Linked DNA regions of Struthio camelus. The protein of the gene in region 1 interacts with the protein of each later gene in a pairwise test. Links are inferred from orthologs where the notes say so. Each region holds a gene or a part of one and is shown on either strand. Other genes may lie near its edges.

Evidence for each region. The genes of interacting proteins can lie anywhere in the genome.
Region 2: the proteins of PAK5 (region 1) and UXT interact in binary tests that used the Homo sapiens proteins (3 or more experiments, as listed by UniProt). The two-hybrid records come from large-scale screens. The link is inferred for Struthio camelus from reciprocal best matches to the Homo sapiens genes PAK5 and UXT.

Annotation. Positions count from the first base shown.
Region 1 is NC_090944.1:129,341,692-129,351,514, reverse strand, and holds the start of PAK5 (serine/threonine-protein kinase PAK 5), read right to left. Parts: upstream 5,199-9,823; 5' UTR 5,099-5,198; intron 5,086-5,098; exon of another isoform or gene 4,960-5,085; intron 1-4,959.
Region 2 is NW_027182705.1:15,566-25,388, forward strand, and holds the start of UXT (protein UXT), read right to left. Parts: upstream 5,824-9,823; 5' UTR 5,695-5,823; coding exon 5,627-5,694; intron 3,412-5,626; coding exon 3,330-3,411; intron 2,076-3,329; coding exon 2,011-2,075; intron 1-2,010. UniProt on the Homo sapiens protein: Involved in gene transcription regulation. Acts in concert with the corepressor URI1 to regulate androgen receptor AR-mediated transcription. Together with URI1, associates with chromatin to the NKX3-1 promoter region.

The DNA of each region.
Region 1 (9,823 bases):
TTGTTTTAATAAATCTTTGTTCAGGGTACAAGAACTGCCAGCAAGAAAAAAACAGCAGTCTCGCCTATCAAAGGAGAATGAAACATAATTCATGCACCACTTCTTGTTTTGCTGGTTTGATTTAAGAAGTTGTATCCCAGTACTGTCTGCTCTGAGACATGATTACCTTTGTACTTCCACTAGGTGCCTCTTCCAAAAGCAGTAGCGTTTTCGCTTGCCCCAGAAAAAAGTAGTTGGGAAAGATGTAAAATAGCTGGCTTCGTCTGTCACAGCTTGCTATACGCGACATAACGGGAGCACACACTTCGCAAGCACGTGCGGCCACAGAGCGCTCCGGCGAGGATAGCCCTTGAACCTACATTTTGTGCCGGGGCCAAGAGACAGCTGCTTTCAACAGCAGGTTGAACTGCCCAAGAAACCCAACGCTGTGCCGGTGCTGCCCTCCAAGCCACGCCAGGAAGCCCAAGGGGACGCTGTAAACCTAAACCAGCCCCCAGGCATCATCCGCTGACCCCAAGAAGGAGCAACGCCATGGGAAGGTTACCGGACCGGCTGCTTGTTTCTGCTCCCCTCTCCCACATTAGCAGGGTCTGACAATGCTCTAGCCGAGATAACGGGGATGGCAATTTAGCTCATGGTTGGAGGCCTGCTTTGAGAGCCGAGAGAGCAGAAACCCAAAGAACAACTCGCATCAAACCGGAGAGCCCGAACATCTCACTTCCTTGAGCCCGGGTGGGGTTTTGTTTTGTTTCCCTCTCCCCCTCCCCACAATACTCATCCCTCCCAGGAAAAAAAGAAGAAACTCTAGATATTCGTTTTGACTGAAAATATTTTGCCTTTCTGGCTGTGGAGATAGCCGTCCAAATGAAACACCAAGCCCCACCGTCCTGCTGGGTTTGGTGAAAGGCAGGCTGAAATGCCAGCAGGAACAAAGAGTCTCCAGGGAATCAGTGTGGACTGATGGATGAGAAGCTTAATTAGAGTTGCCTGAACATTAAATATCATTAAGAGAGTGCACAGAAATTTGCTCTATTTTTCTAAATGGCCTCTTTATTGTCTTTTTGTTCACAGCTGTCAACGTTTTTGAAACTTCTCAGTTTCCAGCTCTTCCCCCTCAAGAATGAGGCTGATGCAACTGTGCTTGCACATCAGTCAGGCCTCCCTACTGAACCTGATGGCCAACTGACACTGAATTTAGGAGGAGGGTAATCTCAAAGACATCAAGTCCTTACAAGCTTTGGATTTAGGCAGCTGGAGAGCAGATACCCTATGAAAGTCCTATTGAGCAGGAGATTGCAGCATGAGACAAGCCCATACGGGACACCTGGGAAATCACACAGATCAACCACAAGTGAGAAAGCCATAGGAAACAAGGCTCAATTGGCTATGCCGATCATTTTTAGAGCAAGTTGTAAAAAAAAAAAAAAAAAAAAAAAAAAAAAAAATTCTTTTCATGCTTTAAAAGGCTACTGAGCACAGTAAGATTGTTTGGAAGTGTTTAACAGATTACAATTAGTGGAAAAAATTAATAGACTATAATTGGATGTTAAAAAAAAAGTATACGTCCTCCAGGTGTAAGAAACATCAACGGTGTGGGATTTCCAACAGCAGCGTTTCCTCTCGTGCCTGGCTGTAATGAGTAACCATCTTCTGCAAGGCCAATGGCTGAGGGCTCATTCGGCTTCCACCAAATCTGGGGAAAACGTGGCTGAATGCTACGGCAGACTGAACAACCAAACGCCACCGACTTCAGCAAGAACCAAAGCAGAGACAACCCCAGAAACACTATCAGGAAAGAGGAACGGCACCGTGAGTAAAAAAAGTTAACACAAGCAGCACAGTTTGAATATCCCGGGGGAGAAATTTTAGCACGAGGTTTTTTTGTTAGAAGTTCACACACATGCCAGAAACGCCGCAGCTGTTGGTTAAGCCCGAGCGTACCCACGGACACCTGTTAGCAGTTTCAGTGTATGCCACTCGGCCACACTTCCGTTTTTAGGTTTTGCCGAGTAAAACAGTAAAAATCAGAATGAATTTTGGAATTCGAACAAGTGCATGCCAAACGTTCAAGATCCTTAACTGGAGCCGCTTCAAAGTAATAACTGGATTTAAGTGCCAAGTCCGAGTGTGATCAGAGAGGAGGGTGAGAGATGGAGGCTCCCCCACTCTGTTTTTCTTCCTCTTTTAACCATACCTTGTTGCAGTTGCACGCTACCAATGACAGATCTGTGTTAACGTCATCTCTTGGGCAACGCCTTAAGCCATACGAACTGGAGCTATCCTTGAACTGGGCTTTAAGCCCAAATCACATACGCCAACTGATGTCAGAAAGAATGGTTTTGTGCATACTGTTTCCCCTACTTCAATACAGAACCTGGGGTCAGAGGCGAGGTGGACGAGGCCACGTGAAGGTCAAAGTTATCACCAAGTAATGTGGTGAGAAGTTTGCTCTCAGGTGCCTGATGGCAAGAGTTGAGGCTGGCGAGGTAACAGCATTTGCTGCGCGCGACAGCAGCAGTGCGAGTCCTCCGAAGGCTGAATTATGCTTTTGTTCCCTAGTGCTGAAGCAATACTTGTGAAATAAAACACTTGGCGAGAAACTTGCTCGCTACCAATTTCCATGCTGCTTATTTAGGATTAGCCCTTGGGAACCCGAGATTTCAGAGAAATCTAAATATCCATCTGCTGTGAACGCTCACGGTTGATGAAGGCGACCAGAAAAGCGTCACCTGGAAGCTAATTGGGGCACCAAAGTAACCAAGCAAGTCCCTGAGCAATGGGGTTTTCTAGGCCTGGCTTCAGGCGGGGCCGTGCCGAGGGGATTCTCCAACGGCTCGTAGCCCAGCCTCGGCGACAGCACCGACGTGGCCTCTCCTCCACACACAGACAATTACTCTTGAGACTCTCCATTAAACATGGTTCAACATCCACTACAGCTGAAGGACAGGCAGACACATATGCATGCACGGAGTGACTGGATAAGCCTCATTTCCTTAGGATCACGTTAAAAAAAAAAAAAGTGCAAAAAACCAGTAATGCCACTCTGAGCTTCTGCCATAATCCTGCCTTGCTTCGGTGCAGAGTGGTCTAAAATCTCCTGATGAAAGTTTTTCTCTTCTAAAAAGTGCAGCTTCACCTTGATCAAAACCATTCACAGAAAGTGTTTGAAGCAGGAGAAGAAAGTTTTGCTTCAGCATTTTCAAGAGGACAGATACTGCCTTTCCCCCAAATTCACACCATGTTTTCACCTGGCTTACTTCAGACTAATTGTTTTGCAGAGCAAAAATGTAATTCCATGCAGAACAAAGACTTCCCATCAACCTGAAACAAACTAAACCAAAAAAGAAAAAAAAAACCTTAAATAATAATAATTTTAAAAAGCCAGCAAGCCAAAAGGCAACCTACAGTTCTCAAAGCTTTCACCGGAGCGGCAGCACCAGACCCGGCTTGCTGCCCTGATGGTCACCGGCCCTGCCAGTCCCCCCGCCCCACGGGAGAGCGGCAGCCTGTTGCGGGAAGGTAACGCGCAGAAGTACCTCGTCAGGAGGAAACGACCAGTCCAAAGGGTCATTTTGTGAGCTGTAAATTGAGAGCAAAGGGAAAAGCCTCTCAAAGCTTTTTTCCCAAAATTAACTTCTGGAGACGCGAGCCAGCCGGGAAGAACGGCAAGGATGCCGGGGACCGACAACACCGGCAGCCCTGCTACCGCGAGCAAGCGCAGGCGGTTGCGTGCGAGTCAAATTCCTGCACGGGGTGGGAAAAGGAGGAGTGGAAACCTGTGCACCTGGGGCTTTAATCCCATTCCCCTTGTCAGGGGGGAAAAAAAACATCATCAGCATTAGACTGACAGAGCTCTCGAGCAATTCTCCTGCTCCTGCAAAAACACCCTCCGTGCAGCAAGAAGCCTGTCCTCAACGGTGGCGGTGACAGAGCTGCCACCTCCCCGTAGCCATCAACACAGACTCTCGCACGGGGAGGGGGAGCCCAAGTTTCTGCTGCTGTCCTAGGCAGCGTTATTTAAAGTTTAAAGTACAATAAAGGCGCTAGCAATAAACAGACTAGCAACAATGCCTCAGTGTCATCTCAGTATACAGTGCACCTATATATGTTTATATATCATACATATCAGCAGGCCATGGAGAGCCACCTTATCACAACTACTAATGCTGTTCCCTCATTTTCCAAATGCTAAAGCCTATTAAAAAAAAAAAAAAAAGGCTCTAAAGGGCAAGACCATCACAAGGGCTCGCTGCTGCCCTTTGGTGCCTCGCAAGTTGGTGGGAATTTTGTCCTTAGCTGCAGTGACAGCCGCGTTAGTTTAATGCTGAGCATTTGGGGGGGGGGGGGGGAATCCATTGTTTCTTTATTTTAACCCAAGGCCGGTGCGTAACAAAGAGGGAGGCAGGCAGCCTGCGTGTTAGCGGCTGGTTCGTCCTGAAATTCTCAGGGTCTCATCAACACCGAGGGTCTGCCCGCCCCGGGGGGGGAACCAACCAAACGAACAAAAAAAAAAAAAAAAAAAAGCCCTCACACAACAACCTTTTTTTTGATCGTAACCGTAATCTGAGCAAGTCAGTCACCGCGCCGTTCACCTTCTGCAGCGACGAGCGGCAGAAGCACAGAAGAGCCGAGCGGGTTTCAGGCGCTTCCAACCCCTCACACGCACAAGCGCCCACGAGCGAGGGCTTCCCCCCCCCCCCAAAAAAAAAAAAGCCGTTATCGACATACGGCGGCCACGGGTACCGGCTCGCCGAGGGGAAACCTGGAAGGGGCACCACCTCCAAAGAAAGTTGGCACCAACTTCCACGGGAAAGCAGACTGCCAGAAAGCAAAACGCCTTAAAAAAAAAAAAAAGAAAGAGAGAAAGGAAAAAAAAAGGGGGGGGGAAAGGGGAAAAAAGGCATTGTCACTAAAAAAAAAAAACAAAAACCTCTCGCCCACCGAATAAGCGGAGCTCACCTATATCTACCCTTCATAAAGCGCCTGACGAGGAGGAGAGGGCACCCACGAGCCGGCTCCGCGCCGCGGGCGCTGCAGCCTCCGCCGGCCCCGGCTCCCCGCGCTGCGCTGCGCCGCGGCCGCCCCGCGCCGCGCCTACCTCGGCGGCGCCGCCGTCACGCCGCCCCCAGCGCCATGTTCCCGCGCCGGCTACATCCGGGCTCGGCCCGGTTCGGCTCGGCCCGGCCCGGCCCGGCCGCAGGTGCCGCCCGCCCCCGCGCGGGGCGGGGCCCTTCGCCCGCCGCGCCGCCCACGCGCGGAGGGCGACCTGGCGCTTTTGTGCGCCCGCCCGCGCGGGCAGCCCTCCTGCCAGCCGCGCGCACGCCCACCCGCGCTTTCGCTCCGCCGGGCCCACCCGTGCAGCCCCCCACACGCCCCCTCCATCCACCCGTGCAGCCCCCATGCACCCCCCCGCCCATCTCTCCGCCCAGGCGTCCACCTGTGCGTCCACCCGCCCACCCGTGCATCAAACCCTCCACCCACTCCTTTTCCTTAACCAGTACTAATTGCGTCCACTATTCCTTTTGTTTTAGGCAACAACGTATGAGCAGACAGGAGCTCCTGCTGTTTCAGCGCGCGGCGGTGCGGATTCTCCAGTGCGCGCGGGGGGACTTGTGCGACGCTGTACGGCCGTGGCGTGTCCTACCTTCCCTGTGTAATTTGTCGGCGAAAGGCGTTTAACAAAGCGCAGTTCTGAGGGGTGAGGAGGGCTACCATTGTCCAAGTGCACAAAAACAACGCCACGGATCAAACAGGGCACGTGGGCATCTTCAGTCATAATGCCTGCGGGCAGAAATTTTGGTTTAGAAGTGTCAGAGGTCACTGTTACTTGTAACCAGTTCCCATTCCTCTCGCTAGGTGATACTCACGTGTCTGCACACTCCTCTGCTTCAGACCGTAACATTTTTTTTTTTTTAATTGACAGCGCGAACGCCGAGATGGCAGATAAACAAAGCAAACGACAAAACCTGAAACACGCTCAGTTCCTAGGCTGCACTTCGGCGCCCAGCCCGCAGCGGCACTAAGCGAAGCAGGCGCAGGGCGATGCTGCCTCGTGGCAGGGAGCTTCAGCAGCGGCCGCCAAGGCCAGGAGCCATGCCACGTTCGAGAGGGGAGCGCCGCACTTCCGTGCGGATGACAGGAGCGTGTTGAATTGTAGAAGACTGGAAAGGGGAGGAGGAGGCGGCGCTCGTTCCCGCGGGGTAAAGCCAGCGTACCTAGGCGAGGCTCAGAAAGAGCTGTAAAGGCGCCGCGTATTTCTCCCCAGGCTCCCTGCGTGGAACCTGGTCCTTGGGTTTTATTTGGTTTGTTTTTATTTTGTTTTTGTTTTTTTTACACCAACACCTGCTCCGACATGTTTTATTATCTGTAAGAGCTCCCTGAGCAGTGGACAGACCCTAGACATAAATCCAGTTTAGGCGAACCAATGGGAAGGAAGCAATCAGAGAAGTACGAAAGCAAAATAAATGTCTATCCTCTGTAATTTAGGTGTATTACTGCCTGCAATTTGTGCCTGCCTCTGAAAGCTGTTTTAAGCCTACGTTTTTATATAACATTCCATAAGAAAGATTAAGATTGCCTTTAATAAGGGTACCTATCAATCTTAGTAAATGTTAAATCAGGAGAGAAATACCGTGGTCGCACTCATGTGTGACCATAAACCAAGAAATACTGAACGCTAATAGCAAAGTGTTTTTCAGAGTCATGTAAAGCATAAGATATCTGGAAGGAAAAGCCTGAAAATGGCTTGATTTATACAGCCTGGTCTGAGAGAGAGGTGGTCCTATATGTAACAAGTTAGAATTAAATGTCATTTCTGGTTTCTTTGATGTAGGCTTTTGTTGAAATGCACTTACGATGCTGCGGAGTAGAGAGTGCATGACAGAAACGTCGTAAAGGTTTACATTAGAGCTGCGTAGGGCAGCCGCAATTTTCACAGGGCAGCCGTGCTAGCAAAGAGAGAGACATGCCCATAACCCGCCTGCTTGGAGAAGCGATGGTCTCGAGAATCCCTTTTTCTCCTCAGATAGATTCATACCCGCCAGCGATCGCCGTTACAGTCGTCATTTTGCCTCCTCGAGTAGGTAGCGGCACTCAACGACTGTCGCTCTACAAATAACACGTGCAGCCAAGCCTTGCCCCGAAGGGCAGCGGGAACGGGGAGCGGGGAGAAGGGAGGCTCCGCACCCACCACAGCCCAGCCCACCCCGTGCGAACGGCCCTCCCTGCTCCAATTTATTTTTAATCTGGCGGGAGGAGGTGAGACGCTGTTCAGAGCAGGAGGTGAGATCCCTCTTTCATATCATTGCAAGTGACAGTCAGTCACTCAGATTATGCTAAAACTGGAGAAAAAAATGGGGAAATATGACAACGTAAGCGAAAGCAAGCTGGGCTGAGGGAAGAACGATGGCCAGAAGGCGTTGCACCAGCAGGTCCTTTGCCCACTTCCCAGTGAGCCTGGCGGCTCTCAGACGCAGGGTGCTCCCCAAAACAGCTCCCTGGGCCCCCCGGCCAGGCAACACACCCCGGGCGCATTGCACATAGCATCACCCACCGGCCGGGCTCGGGGCCAAAGACCTTGCCTAGACCTGAGCTGACAGACCAAGGACCTGCCAAGGTTGACGTCTTTTTTCTCATCTTGCACCACCCACACCGTGGCTGCAGTGGAGGGATCGGGTTCAGTAAAAGTTGCCCTGGTTTTCATGGCCTTTTTTCTCCCTCGGCACTGTAGTTTTCTGCAGTTTTTCACTGGCCCCCTGTTTACTTCAGCTTAACCATGCTGCACTGAAAGCTAGGCCTTTTGTGATAATCTCTGAACCCACAACTGCCATTCATTAGAGTTAATCATAGCTCTCGGCACTTACCGCAGACCTTATCGCCTTTAATGTCTCAGAGGGGCCCTTTTCCCTTTTCAGACACGCAGCAGTGCAGGGAGGTGCAAAGACTGAGGCTCTAATGGCCCTCAGCTCTTCACCCGAGCTCTGAACAGGTTTCCATATGTGCTAAAAAACCTACATTAACAAGAAAAAAATCCATCAGAAATTTACTCTTCCATTATCCATAACATTTGCTTCCATCTCATCTTCCTTGCTTTTCCCCTAAACTGCTGTTCTACCTAATGCTGCAAGGTTAAATAAGCTCCCTTTGCTCTTGAGAGAACATTGCATTTGGCTGTTCAGAAAGCGTCTGCTCTGTCTTCAAAAACTGGAAATGACAGCGGTGACTATCGCCAGGATAAGAGGGAGTCCTCTCCTTACTGCATCGGTGGGAGCACAGGAGCTAAAAGGAAGACTAGGTGCAGATGACCACAATCACAGATATTGGATAAAGCTATTCAGAAATATGGTGGACCAGAATTCACACTCCTAAATCTGAAATTCAAAACAAGTTTTGGGTGCGCACAGCACATGCTGCCCCTGAGTGGGTGCCTCTGTTGCCCAGGATTTGATTTAACCTCAGCCGGTGTGGTTCGGCTTGTGTTCCCATAGCCACGACCCACAACCGAGACGAGAGACCCTCCCCGTTGAAGTCACCCTGTTGCTTTTGATTTCGTTTGGCTTGTTTGAGTCTCAGCGGTCTTAGCAGCCAGGAGCAACGTTTCAGTTGCCACTGAAGGATGTTCAGCTTCTGGGAAAGAAAAAGGAAAAAAAGTCAAGCATTTCATTAAAAATAAAATAAATCTTGGACTTAGACTTCATTGCAGGATTGGAGACTTATATACTGATGTATCAGACTGTATCAGAAATAACGCAGTATAAGGCAGCAAAGATTTTTTAGTTTTAAACCAGCAAGTGATGTGTGTCTGTAACACAAGGTGTTGCTTGTCAAATCTTGACATTGTACGTATAGCTGATGGTAGGAGAAAAATCAAGGTTTTGCTATTTTATCTTTAGTTTCAAGTGTGATTTGGAGGAAATGAAGAAATTGCCTCAGTGACTTGGCAAAAGGGGATGACGACTGCTAGCCCTGTCACACCCGGCGCTGTTGCCTGAGCTAGGAAATGGGTGGCTCAGTCTGGCTGAAAGAATAGCATAGCGACGGCCGCCTGGAGGCGTGGGAGAGGCAGATGAAGGTCCCCCGGCCCCAGGAGCACACAATGGCTGGAGACCTTCTCACAGCCCAGCACACAGCTGTCCACTATGCCGACATCCAGTGCTCCTTGGATGTCCTTCAGCTATAGGTTTGGGAAAAAGGTGCTGCACCCACATAAGAGCGCAGGGAGAGGAAGATGGTAATAATCCTCTCCACCCCACTTGGCACCGGGCTGGAGAGGCTGCGAGTCTCCTGGATTGCCTTTCACAGACCAAAGGGGACACAAAAATCGAGACCGTCTAAGGAGACCATGGCCAAGAGCATGTGTATCAACTGGGACCCTCGAAGGAGACCCCAGCCAAGAGCGTGTGCATCAGCTGGGAACCTCTCAGGAGTCCATGACCAAGAGCGTGTGCACCAGTTGGGACCCTCCAAGGAGACCCCAGAACGCGCGCATCTCAAACACTGCCTGCTGGTGTTTCTCTGGAGGGGTTTTTGCCCACGTTGCCCCCACAAGGGACTTGGCCACAGGCTGCGGAACCTAAAAATGGGGCAGCAGCTCCTGTCCCCGACGCCTCCTGTGAAAGAAGCAGCCGCAGCGTCTCCTGGGTGGCCAGATGCTGCTCTGCCCGGGGACTAATTGAAGCTAAGAAACCAGATATCTAACTTGGAAATCAGTCTCTGGTGCATCTCCAATAAAAGTCAGCTGAACTAGCTGAAGGATGAACTGGACTCTGTTTAATCCCTGCAGTCCAAAAAATACATGTGTATGTATATATATTATATATACACA
Region 2 (9,823 bases), on another chromosome or scaffold:
GGGGATTTGGGGTCCCTGGTGGGGATTTGGGGGGGTCCTGGGGGGGGTTGGGGGACCCTGGGGGGGATTTGGGGGGGTCCTGGGGGGGGTTAGAGGGGGTCCTGGGGGGGGTTGGGGTCCCCCCAGGGGGGTTTGGGGACCCTGGGGGGGTTTGGGGGGGTCCTGGGGGGGTTAGAGGGGGTCCTGGGGGGGGTTGGGGTCCCCCCAGGGGGGTTGGGGGTCCCTGGGGGGGATTTGGGGTCCCTGGTGGGGATTTGGGGGGGTCCTGGGGGGGGTTGGGGTCCCTGGGGGGGGTTAGAGGGTCCCTGGGGGGGGTTGGGGGGGTCTTGGGGGGGATTTGGGGTCCCTGGGGGGATTTGGGGGGGGTCCTGGGGGGGGTTGGGGGTCCCTGGGGGAAATTTGGGGGGGTCCAGGGGGGGTTGGGGTCCCCCCAGGGGGATTAGGGGTCCCTGGTGGGCATTTGGGGGGGTCCGGGGGGGGATTTGGGGGGGTCCTGGGGGTTTGGGGGTCCCTGGGGGGGGTTGGGGTCCCTGCGGGGGGTTTGGGGATCCTGGGGGGGTTTGGGGGGGGTCCTGGGGGGGGTTGGGGGTCCCTGGGGAGGGGTTTGGGGGGTCCTGGTGGGTGTTGGGGGTCCCTGGGGGGGTTTCGGGAGGTCCTGGGGGGGGGGTTGGGGTCCCTGGAGAGGGGTTTGGGGGGTCCTGGGGGGGTTGGGGGTCCCTGGGGCGGATTTGGGGTCCCTGGGGGGGTTTGAGGGGATCCTGGGGGGTGGTTGGGGTCCCCCCGGGGGGGTTAGGGGTCCCTGGGGGGGATTTGGGGTCCCTGGGGGGGGGTTTGAGGGGGTCCTGGAGGGGGTTGGGGGTCCCTGGGGGGGGTTGGGGGGGTCCTGGGGGGGGGTTGGGGGTCCCTGGGGGGGCCCTGGGGGTCCTGGGGGGGTTTCGGGAGGTCCTGGGGGGGTTGGGGTCCCTGGGGGGGGTTTGAGGGGTCCCTGGGGGGGGGTTGGGGGTCCCTGGGGGGGTTTGGGGGTCCTTGGGGGGGGGTTGGGGGTCCCTGGGGGGGGTTAGGGGGTCCTTGGGGGGGTTTGGGGGTCCTTGGGGGGGGTTGGGGGGTCCTGGGGGGGGTTTTGGGGCATCCCAGAGGGGATTTTGCGGGTCCCAGGGTGGGTTTTGGGGGTCCCAGAGGGGATTTTGCGGGTCCCAGGGTGGGTTTTGGGGTTCCCAGGGGTTTTTTTTGGGGGTCCCGGGGTGGATTTTGGGGGCCTGGGGTAGGTTTGGGGGGGTCCCAGGGGATTTGGGAGGTCCCAGGGTGGATTTTGGGGGTCCCAGGGAGTTTTGGGGGTCCCAGAGGAGATATTGGGGGGTCCTGGGGGGGTTTGGGTGGTCCCGGGGTGTATTTTGGGGGTCCCGGGATGCATTTGGGGGGTCCTGGGGTGGATTTTGGGGGTCCCAGGGAGTTTTGGGGGTCCCAGAGGAGATATTGGGGGGTCCGGGGGGGGTTGGGGGGTCCCAGGGTGTATTTTGGGGGTCCCGGGGTGCATTTGGGGGGTCCTGGGGTGGATTTTGGGGGTCCCAGGGAGTTTTGGGGGTCCCAGAGGAGATATTGGGGGGTCCGGGGGGGGGTTGGGGGGTCCCAGGGAGTTTTGGGAGTCCCAGCAAAGATTTGGGGGTTCCCAGGGGTTTTTTGGGGGTCCCGGGGTGGATTTTGGGGGTCCCAGGGTGCATTTGGGGGGTCCCAGGGTGGATTTTGGGGGTCCTGGGGTGCATTTGGGGGGTCCCAGCGAAGATTTGGGGGGTCCCAGGGGGTTTTTGGGGGTCCCGGGGTGGATTTTGGGGGTCCCGGGGTGGGTTTGGGGGGTCCCAGTGAAGATTTGGGGGTCCCAGGGGGTTTTTGGGGGTCCCGGGGTGGATTTTGGGGGTCCCGGGGGGTTTTTGGGGGTCCCGGAGTGGATTTTGGGGGTCCCGGGGTGGGTTTGGGGGGTCCCGGGGGTGGGTTTTGGGGGGGGGGGTCACTCACACTTCGGCGGCGACGTAGAAGTTGCAGCCCAGGTCGACCTGGGTGCGCAGGGGGGCGGCCGCCTCCTGCCGGCCCCAAAACCGCCCCGGTTCGCCCCAAAATGCCCCCCCCGACCCCCCCCCAGACCCCCAAATCCCCCCCAGACCCTCCAATCCCCCCCAAAATCCCCAATTTCCCCCCAAATCCCCAAATCTCCCGACCCCAAATCCCCCCCAGACCCCCAAATCCCCCCCAGACCCAAAATCCCCCTCATTCCCCCCAAACCCCCCAACCCCAAATCCCCCCGACTCCCCCCAAAATCCCCAAGACCCCAAATCCCCCCAAATCCCCCCAAAATTCCCCCCAAGACCCCAAATCCCCCCAATTTCCCTCAAATTCCCAAATCCCCCCAATTCCCCCCAAAATCCCCAAGACCCAAAATCCCCCCAATTTTCCCCAAATTCCTAAATCCCCCCGACCCCAAATCCCCCAGTTCCCCCCCAAAATCCCCCCAAGACCCCCAAATCCCCCCAATTTCCCTCAAATCCCCCCAACTCCCCCCAAAATCCCCAAGACCCAAAATCCCCTTAATTCCCCCCAAAATCACCCCCCAGACCCACAAATCCCAATTCCCCCCCAAATCCCCCCAGACTCCCAAATCCCCGCAATTCCCCCCAAAATCGCCCCCCAGACCCCCAAATCCCCCCAACTCCCCCCAAAATCGCTCCCCAGACCCCCAAATCCCCCCAATTCCCCCCCAAATCCCCCCAGACTCCCAAATCCCCCCAATTCCCCCCAAAATCGCTCCCCAGACCCCCAAATCCCCCCAATTCCCCCCCAAATCCCCCCAGACTCCCAAATCCCCCCAATTCCCCCCAAAATCGCCTCCCAGACCCCCAAATTCCCCCAAAATCCCCCCCAGACTCCCAAATCTGCCCCAGACCCCCAAATCCCCCAAATTCTCCCCCAAATCTCCCCAACTCCCCCCAAAATCGCCCTCCGGACCCCCAAATCCCCCCAGCTCCCCCCAAAATCGCCCCCCAGACCCCCAAATTCCTCCAAAATCACCCTCCGGACCCCCAAACTCCCCCAATTCCCCCCCCAAAAATCCCCCCCAAGACCCCAATCCCCCCCAATTCCCCCCACACCCCCCGCCCCCCGTGGCCCCGCCCCCATCGTGGCCCCGCCCCCATCGTGGCCCCGCCCCCAGCCCCCCCCCATAGCAGCAGCACCCCCCCCTGCCCCCGGCAGCGCAGCCGGGCTGACCCCGCCCCCCACCCGGCCGAGGCCCCGCCCCCTCCCGGCCGAGGCCCCGCCCCCTCGGCCGAGGCCCCGCCCACCTGGAGGCGCTCCAGGGCGGCGCGCAGCTGCAGCACCTGGGCCAGCTGCTCGCACACCGCCTCCCGCTGCGCCAGCACCCGCCTGCGGGGGGGGGGGCGGGGCCTCAGCGGGGGCGGGGCCTCGGCCGGGGGCGGGGCCGGGAGGTGGGATGTGGATGGGGGGGCGGGGGGCGGGGCCGGAGCGCGTGGGCGGGGCCAGAGCGCGGGGGGAGAGAACGCGTGGGCGGGGCCAGAGCGCGGGGGGAGAGAACGTGTGGGCGGGGCCAGAGCGCGGGGGGAGAGAACGTGTGGGCGGGGCCGGAGCGCGGGGGGAGAGAACGTGTGGGCGGGGCCAGAGCGCGGGGGCGGGGCCAGAGCGCGGGGGGAGAGAACGCGTGGGCGGGGCCAGAGCGCGGGGGGGAGAGAACGCGTGGGCGGGGCCGCAGCGCGGGGGGAGAGAACGCGTGGGCGGGGCCGGAGCGCGGGGGGAGAGAACGCGTGGGCGGGGCCGGAGCGCGTGGGCGGGGCCGGAGCGCGGGGGGAGAGAACGCGTGGGCGGGGCCGGAGCGCGTGGGCGGGGCCAGAGCGCGGGGGGAGAGAACGCGTGGGCGGGGCCGGAGCGCGTGGGCGGGGCCAGAGCGCGGGGGGAGAGAACGCGTGGGCGGGGCCGGAGCGCGTGGGCGGGGCCGCAGCGCGGGGGGAGAGAACGCGTGGGCGGGGCCAGAGCGCGGGGGGAGAGAACGCGTGGGCGGGGCCGGAGCGCGTGGGCGGGGCCAGAGCGCGGGGGGAGAGAACGCGTGGGCGGGGCCGGAGCGCGTGGGCGGGGCCAGAGCGCGGGGGGAGAGAACGCGTGGGCGGGGCCGGAGCGCGTGGGCGGGGCCGGAGCGCGGGGGGAGAGAACGCGTGGGCGGGGCCGGAGCGCGGGGGGAGAGAACGCGTGGGCGGGGCCGGAGCGCGTGGGCGGGGCCGGAGCGCGTGGGCGGGGCCGGAGCGCGGGGGGAGAGAACGCGTGGGCGGGGCCAGAGCGCGGGGGGAGAGAACGCGTGGGCGGGGCCAGAGCGCGGGGGGGAGAGAACGCGTGGGCGGGGCCGCAGCGCGGGGGGAGAGAACGCGTGGGCGGGGCCGGAGCGCGGGGGGAGAGAACGCGTGGGCGGGGCCGGAGCGCGGGGGGAGAGAACGCGTGGGCGGGGCCGGAGCGCGTGGGCGGGGCCAGAGCGCGGGGGGAGAGAACGCGTGGGCGGGGCCGGAGCGCGTGGGCGGGGCCAGAGCGCGGGGGGAGAGAACGCGTGGGCGGGGCCGGAGCGCGTGGGCGGGGCCGCAGCGCGGGGGGAGAGAACGCGTGGGCGGGGCCAGAGCGCGGGGGGAGAGAACGCGTGGGCGGGGCCGGAGCGCGTGGGCGGGGCCGCAGCGCGGGGGGAGAGAACGCGTGGGCGGGGCCAGAGCGCGGGGGGAGAGAACGCGTGGGCGGGGCCAGAGCGCGGGGGGAGAGAACGCGTGGGCGGGGCCGGAGCGCGTGGGCGGGGCCAGAGCGCGGGGGGAGAGAACGCGTGGGCGGGGCCGGAGCGCGTGGGCGGGGCCAGAGCGCGGGGGGAGAGAACGCGTGGGCGGGGCCAGAGCGCGTGGGCGGGGCCAGAGCGCGGGGGGAGAGAACGCGTGGGCGGGGCCAGAGCGCGTGGGCGGGGCCAGAGCGCGGGGGGAGAGAACGCGTGGGCGGGGCCAGAGCGCGTGGGCGGGGCCAGAGCGCGGGGGGAGAGAACGTGTGGGCGGGGCCAGAGCGCGGGGGGAGAGAACGCGTGGGCGGGGCCAGAGCGCGGGGGAGAGAACGTGTGGGCGGGGCCAGAGCGCGGGGGGAGAGAACGCGTGGGCGGGGCCAGAGCGCGGGGGGAGAGAACGCGTGGGCGGGGCCAGAGCGCGTGGGCGGGGCCGGAGCGCGGGGGGAGAGAACGCGTGGGCGGGGCCAGAGCGCGTGGGCGGGGCCAGAGCGCGGGGGGAGAGAACGCGTGGGCGGGGCCAGAGCGCGTGGGCGGGGCCAGAGCGCGTGGGCGGGGAGGGGCTGGCTGTGCGGGGTGGGGGGGGGCGGGCAGCGGCGCGGGGGGGCAGGGGGCGTGGCCGGGGAGGGGGCGGGGGGGCGTGGCCAGGGGGGCGGGGGGGCGTGGCCGATCCGCCGTGAGGAGGGAGGGGGCGGCGCGGCGGCCCACGAGGGGGAGGGGGAGAGAAGGGGTGGGGCGGGGGGAGTGCGGGGGCGGGGCCGAGGGGAGGGGGCGGGGCCGAGGGGGGAGGGGGCGGGGCCGAGGGGGGAGGGGGCGGGGCTCACGCACTGCAGGTCGCGCTGCAGCACGTCGCTGACGAAGGCCTCGTAGCGCCGCACCTTGCCGGCGGCCGCCATGGCCGCGCCGTGACGTCAGCGCGCCGCCGCGTCAGCGCGCCGTGACGTCAGCGCGCCGCGCCCGCCACAGCCTATCGGCGCGCGGCTGGGCGCGCCTGTGGCCGGTCGGCGCGCTCGGCGCTCGGCTGCGCCGCCTGGCCGGGCCGGCGCCCCCGCGGTGACGTCATCGCGGCGCGCCGCGGTTCGGCCGCCGCCGGCGGCGGGAGCCCGGGGGGGGGGCGGTGGGTTTTGGGGGGGAATCGGGGAGAAACGCGACGTTGTTTCGGCTTAACGGGGGATGGGGGGGCGGCGGGACACCTGGGCCCTTCCCCGGACGCCTGGGCCCCTTCCCCGGACGCCTGGGCCCCTTCCCGGACGCCTGGGCCCCTTCCCCGGACACCTGGGCCCCTTCCCGGACGCCTGGGCCCTTCCCCGGACGCCTGGGCCCCTTCCTGGACACCTGGGCCCGTGTCCCGGACACCTGGGCCCGTTTCCCCGGATGCCTGGGTCTCTCCCGGACACCTGGGCCCCTTCCTCGGACACCTGGGCCCCTTCCCTGGACGCCTGGGCCCTTTCCCCGGATGCCTGAGCCCCTGTCCCGGACACCTGGGCCCCCTTCCTGGGCGCCTGCACACCTTTCTGGATGCCTGGGCCCCTTTCCCTGGATGTTTAGGTCCCTTTCCCGGACGCCTGGGCCCCTTCTCCAGACACCTGGGCCCCTTGCCCGGACACCTCGGCCCCTTCCCGGACACCTGGGCCCCTTGCCCGGATGCCTGGGCCCTTTTCCCGGACACCAGGACCCCTTCCCCGTATGCCTGGGCCCCTTACCCGGATGCCTGGGCCCCTTTCCTGGACACCTGTGCCCCTTGCCCCGGACGCCTGGGCCCTTCCCCGGACGCCTGGGCCCTTTTACGGGATGCCTGGGACCTTTCCCAGATGCCTGGGCCCTTTTCTTGGACGCCTGGGCCCATTCCCGGACGCCTGGGCCCCTTTCCCGGATGCCTGGGCCCCTTCTTCACATGCTCAGATCATTTCCCTGGACGCCTGGGCCCCTTTCCCCGGACACCTGGGCCCTTCCCTGGAGGCCTGGGCCCCTTCCCTGGATGCTTAAATCATTTCCCCGGACGCCTGGGCCCTTCCCCGGACGCCTGTGCCCCTTACCCCGGACACCTGGGCCCCTTTCCCGGACGCCTGGGCCCCTTATGCCGGACGCCTGGGCCCTTTCCCGGATGCCTGGACCCCTTCCCAGGATGCCGGGGCCCCTTCTTCACATGCTTAGATCATTTCCCTGGATGCCTGGGCCCTTTTCCGGACACCGGTGCCCCTTTCTCTGGACGCCTGGGCCCTTTTTCCCGGATGCCTGGGCCCCTTCCCCAGTTGCTTAGGTGCCTTCCCTGGGTGCCTGGGCCCTTTTCCCGGACACCTGGGCCCCTTCCCTGGATGCTTAGATCATTTCCCCGGACGCCTGGGCCTCTTCCCTGGATGCTTAGATCCTTCCCCGGACGCCTGGGCCCATTTCCCCGTACGCCTGGGCCCCTTACCCCGGATGCCTGGGCCCTTTCCCCGGATGCCTGAGCCCCTGTCCCGGACACCTGGGCCCCCTTCCTGGGCGCCTGCGCACCTTTCTGGATGCCTGGGCCCCTTTCCCTGGATGTTTAGGTCCCTTCCCCGGATGCCTGAGCCCCTTTCCCGGACGCCTGGGTCCCTTTCCCGGACACCTGGGCCCCTTCCCTGGATGCTTAGATCATTTCCCCGGACACCTGGGCCCCTTTCTTGGATGCTTAGATCCTTTCCCGGACACCTGGGCCCCTTCCCCGGATGCCTGGGCGCTTTCCCTGGATGCTTAGGTCCCTTTCCCGGACGCCTGGGCCCCTTCCCCGGATGCTTAAATCATTTCTCCAGATGCCTGGGCCTCTTCCCTGGATGCTTAGATCCTTCCCCGGATGCCTGGGCCCATTCCCCGGATGCCTGGGTTCTTCCCCGGAGGCCTCGGCCCTTCTCCGGACGCCTGGGCCCATTTCCCCGTACGCCTGGGCCCCTTACCCCGGATGCCTGGGCCCTTTCCCCGGATGCCTGAGCCCCTGTCCCGGACACCTGGGCCCCCTTCCTGGGCGCCTGCGCACCTTTCTGGATGCCTGGGCCCCTTTCCCTGGATGTTTAGGTCCCTTTCCCGGACGCCTGGGCCCCTTCTCCAGACACCTGGGCCCCTTGCCCGGACACCTGGGCCCCTTCCCCGGATGCCTGAGCCCCTTTCCCGGACGCCTGGGTCCCTTTCCCGGACACCTGGGCCCCTTCCCTGGATGCTTAGATCATTTCCCCGGACACCTGGGCCCCTTTCTTGGATGCTTAGATCCTTTCCCGGACGCCTGGGCCCCTTCCCTGGATGCCTGGGCCCCTTTTCCTGGATACCTGGGCCCCTTCCCTGGATGCCTGGGCCCTTTCCCTGGATGCTTAGGTCCCTTTCCCGGACGCCTGGGCCCCTTCCCTGGATGCTTAGATCATTTCCCCGGATGCCTGGGCCCCTTGCCCGGATGCCTGGGCCCTTTTCCCGGACGCCTGGGCCCCTTCCCCGTATGCCTGGGCCCCTTACCCGGATGCCTGGGCCCCTTTCCGGGACACCTGTGCCCCTTACCCCGGACGCCTGGGCCCTTTTCCCGGACACCTGGGCCCTTTCCCTGGATGCTTAGATCCTTTCCCGGATGCCTGGGCCCTTCCCCGGACACCTGGGCCCTTTTACCGGATGCCTGGGACCTTTCCCAGATGCCTGGGCCCTTTTCTTGGACGCCTGGGCCCATTCCCGGACGCCTGGGCCCCTTGCCCGGATGCCTGGGCCCCTTACCCCGGATGCTTAGATCATTTCCCCGGACGCCTGGGCCCCTTTTCCCGGACACCTGGGCCCCTTCCCTGGAGGCCTGGGCCCCTTGCACGGATGCTTAAATCATTTCCCCGGACGCCTGTGCCCCTTACCCCAGACGCCTGGGCCCCTTATGCCGGATGCCTGGGCCCTTTCCCAGATGCCAGGGCCCCTTTCCTGGATGCCTGAGCCCTTTCCCTGGATGCTTAGGTCCCTTTCCCGGACACCGGGGCCCCTTCCCCAGACACCTGGGCCCTTTTCCTGGACGCCTGGGCCCCTTCCCCGGACACTTAGGTCCCTTTCCCGGAGGCCTGGACCGTTCCCCGGATGCTTAAATCATTTCCCCAGATGCCTGGGCCTCTTCCCTGGACACCTGGGCCCTTTTCCCGGATGCCTGGGCCCTTTCCCTGGATGCTTAGATCCTTTCCCGGATGCCTGGGCCCCTTCCCCGGATGCCTGGGCCCATTCCCCGGATGCCTGGGTTCTTCCCCGGAGGCCTCGGCCCTTCTCCGGACGCCTGGGCCCATTTCCCCGTACGCCTGGGCCCCTTCCCCGGATGCCTGGGCCCTTTGCCTGGACACCTGGGCCCCTTTCCTGGACGCCTGTGCCCCTTCCCCGGATGCCTGGGCCCTTTTCCTGGATGCCTGGGCCCTTTCCCTGGATGCTTAGGTCCCTTTCCCGGACGCCTGGGCCCCTTCCCCGGATGCCTGGGCCCCTTCTTCACATGCTTAGATCATTTCCCCGGATGCCTGGGCCCCTTTCTTGGATGCCGGGGCCCTTTTTCCCGGATGCCTGGGCCCCTTCCCCGGTTGCTTAGGTCCCTTCCCTGGGTGCCTGGGCCCCTTTCCCGGACTCCTGGGCCACTTCCCCGGATGCCTGAGCCCCTGTCCCGGACACCTGGGCCCCCTTCCTGGGCGCCTGCGCACCTTTCTGGATGCCTGGGCCCCTTTCCCTGGATGTTTAGGTCCCTTTCCCGGATGCCTGGGCCCCTTCTCCAGACACCTGGGCCCCTTTCCCGGACACCTGGACCCCTTCCCCGGATGCCTGAGCCCCTTTCCCGGATGCCTGGGTCCCTTTCCCGGACACCTGGGCCCCTTCCCTGGATGCCTGAGCCCCTTTCCCGGATGCCTGGGTCCCTTTCCCAGACACCTGGGCCCCTTCCCTGGATGCCTGGGCCCCTTCTTCACATGCTTAGATCATTTCCCTGGACGCCTGGGTCCCTTTCCCGGACACCTGGGCCCCTTCCCTGGATGCTTAGATCATTTTCCTGGACGCCTGGGCCCCTTTCCCTGGACG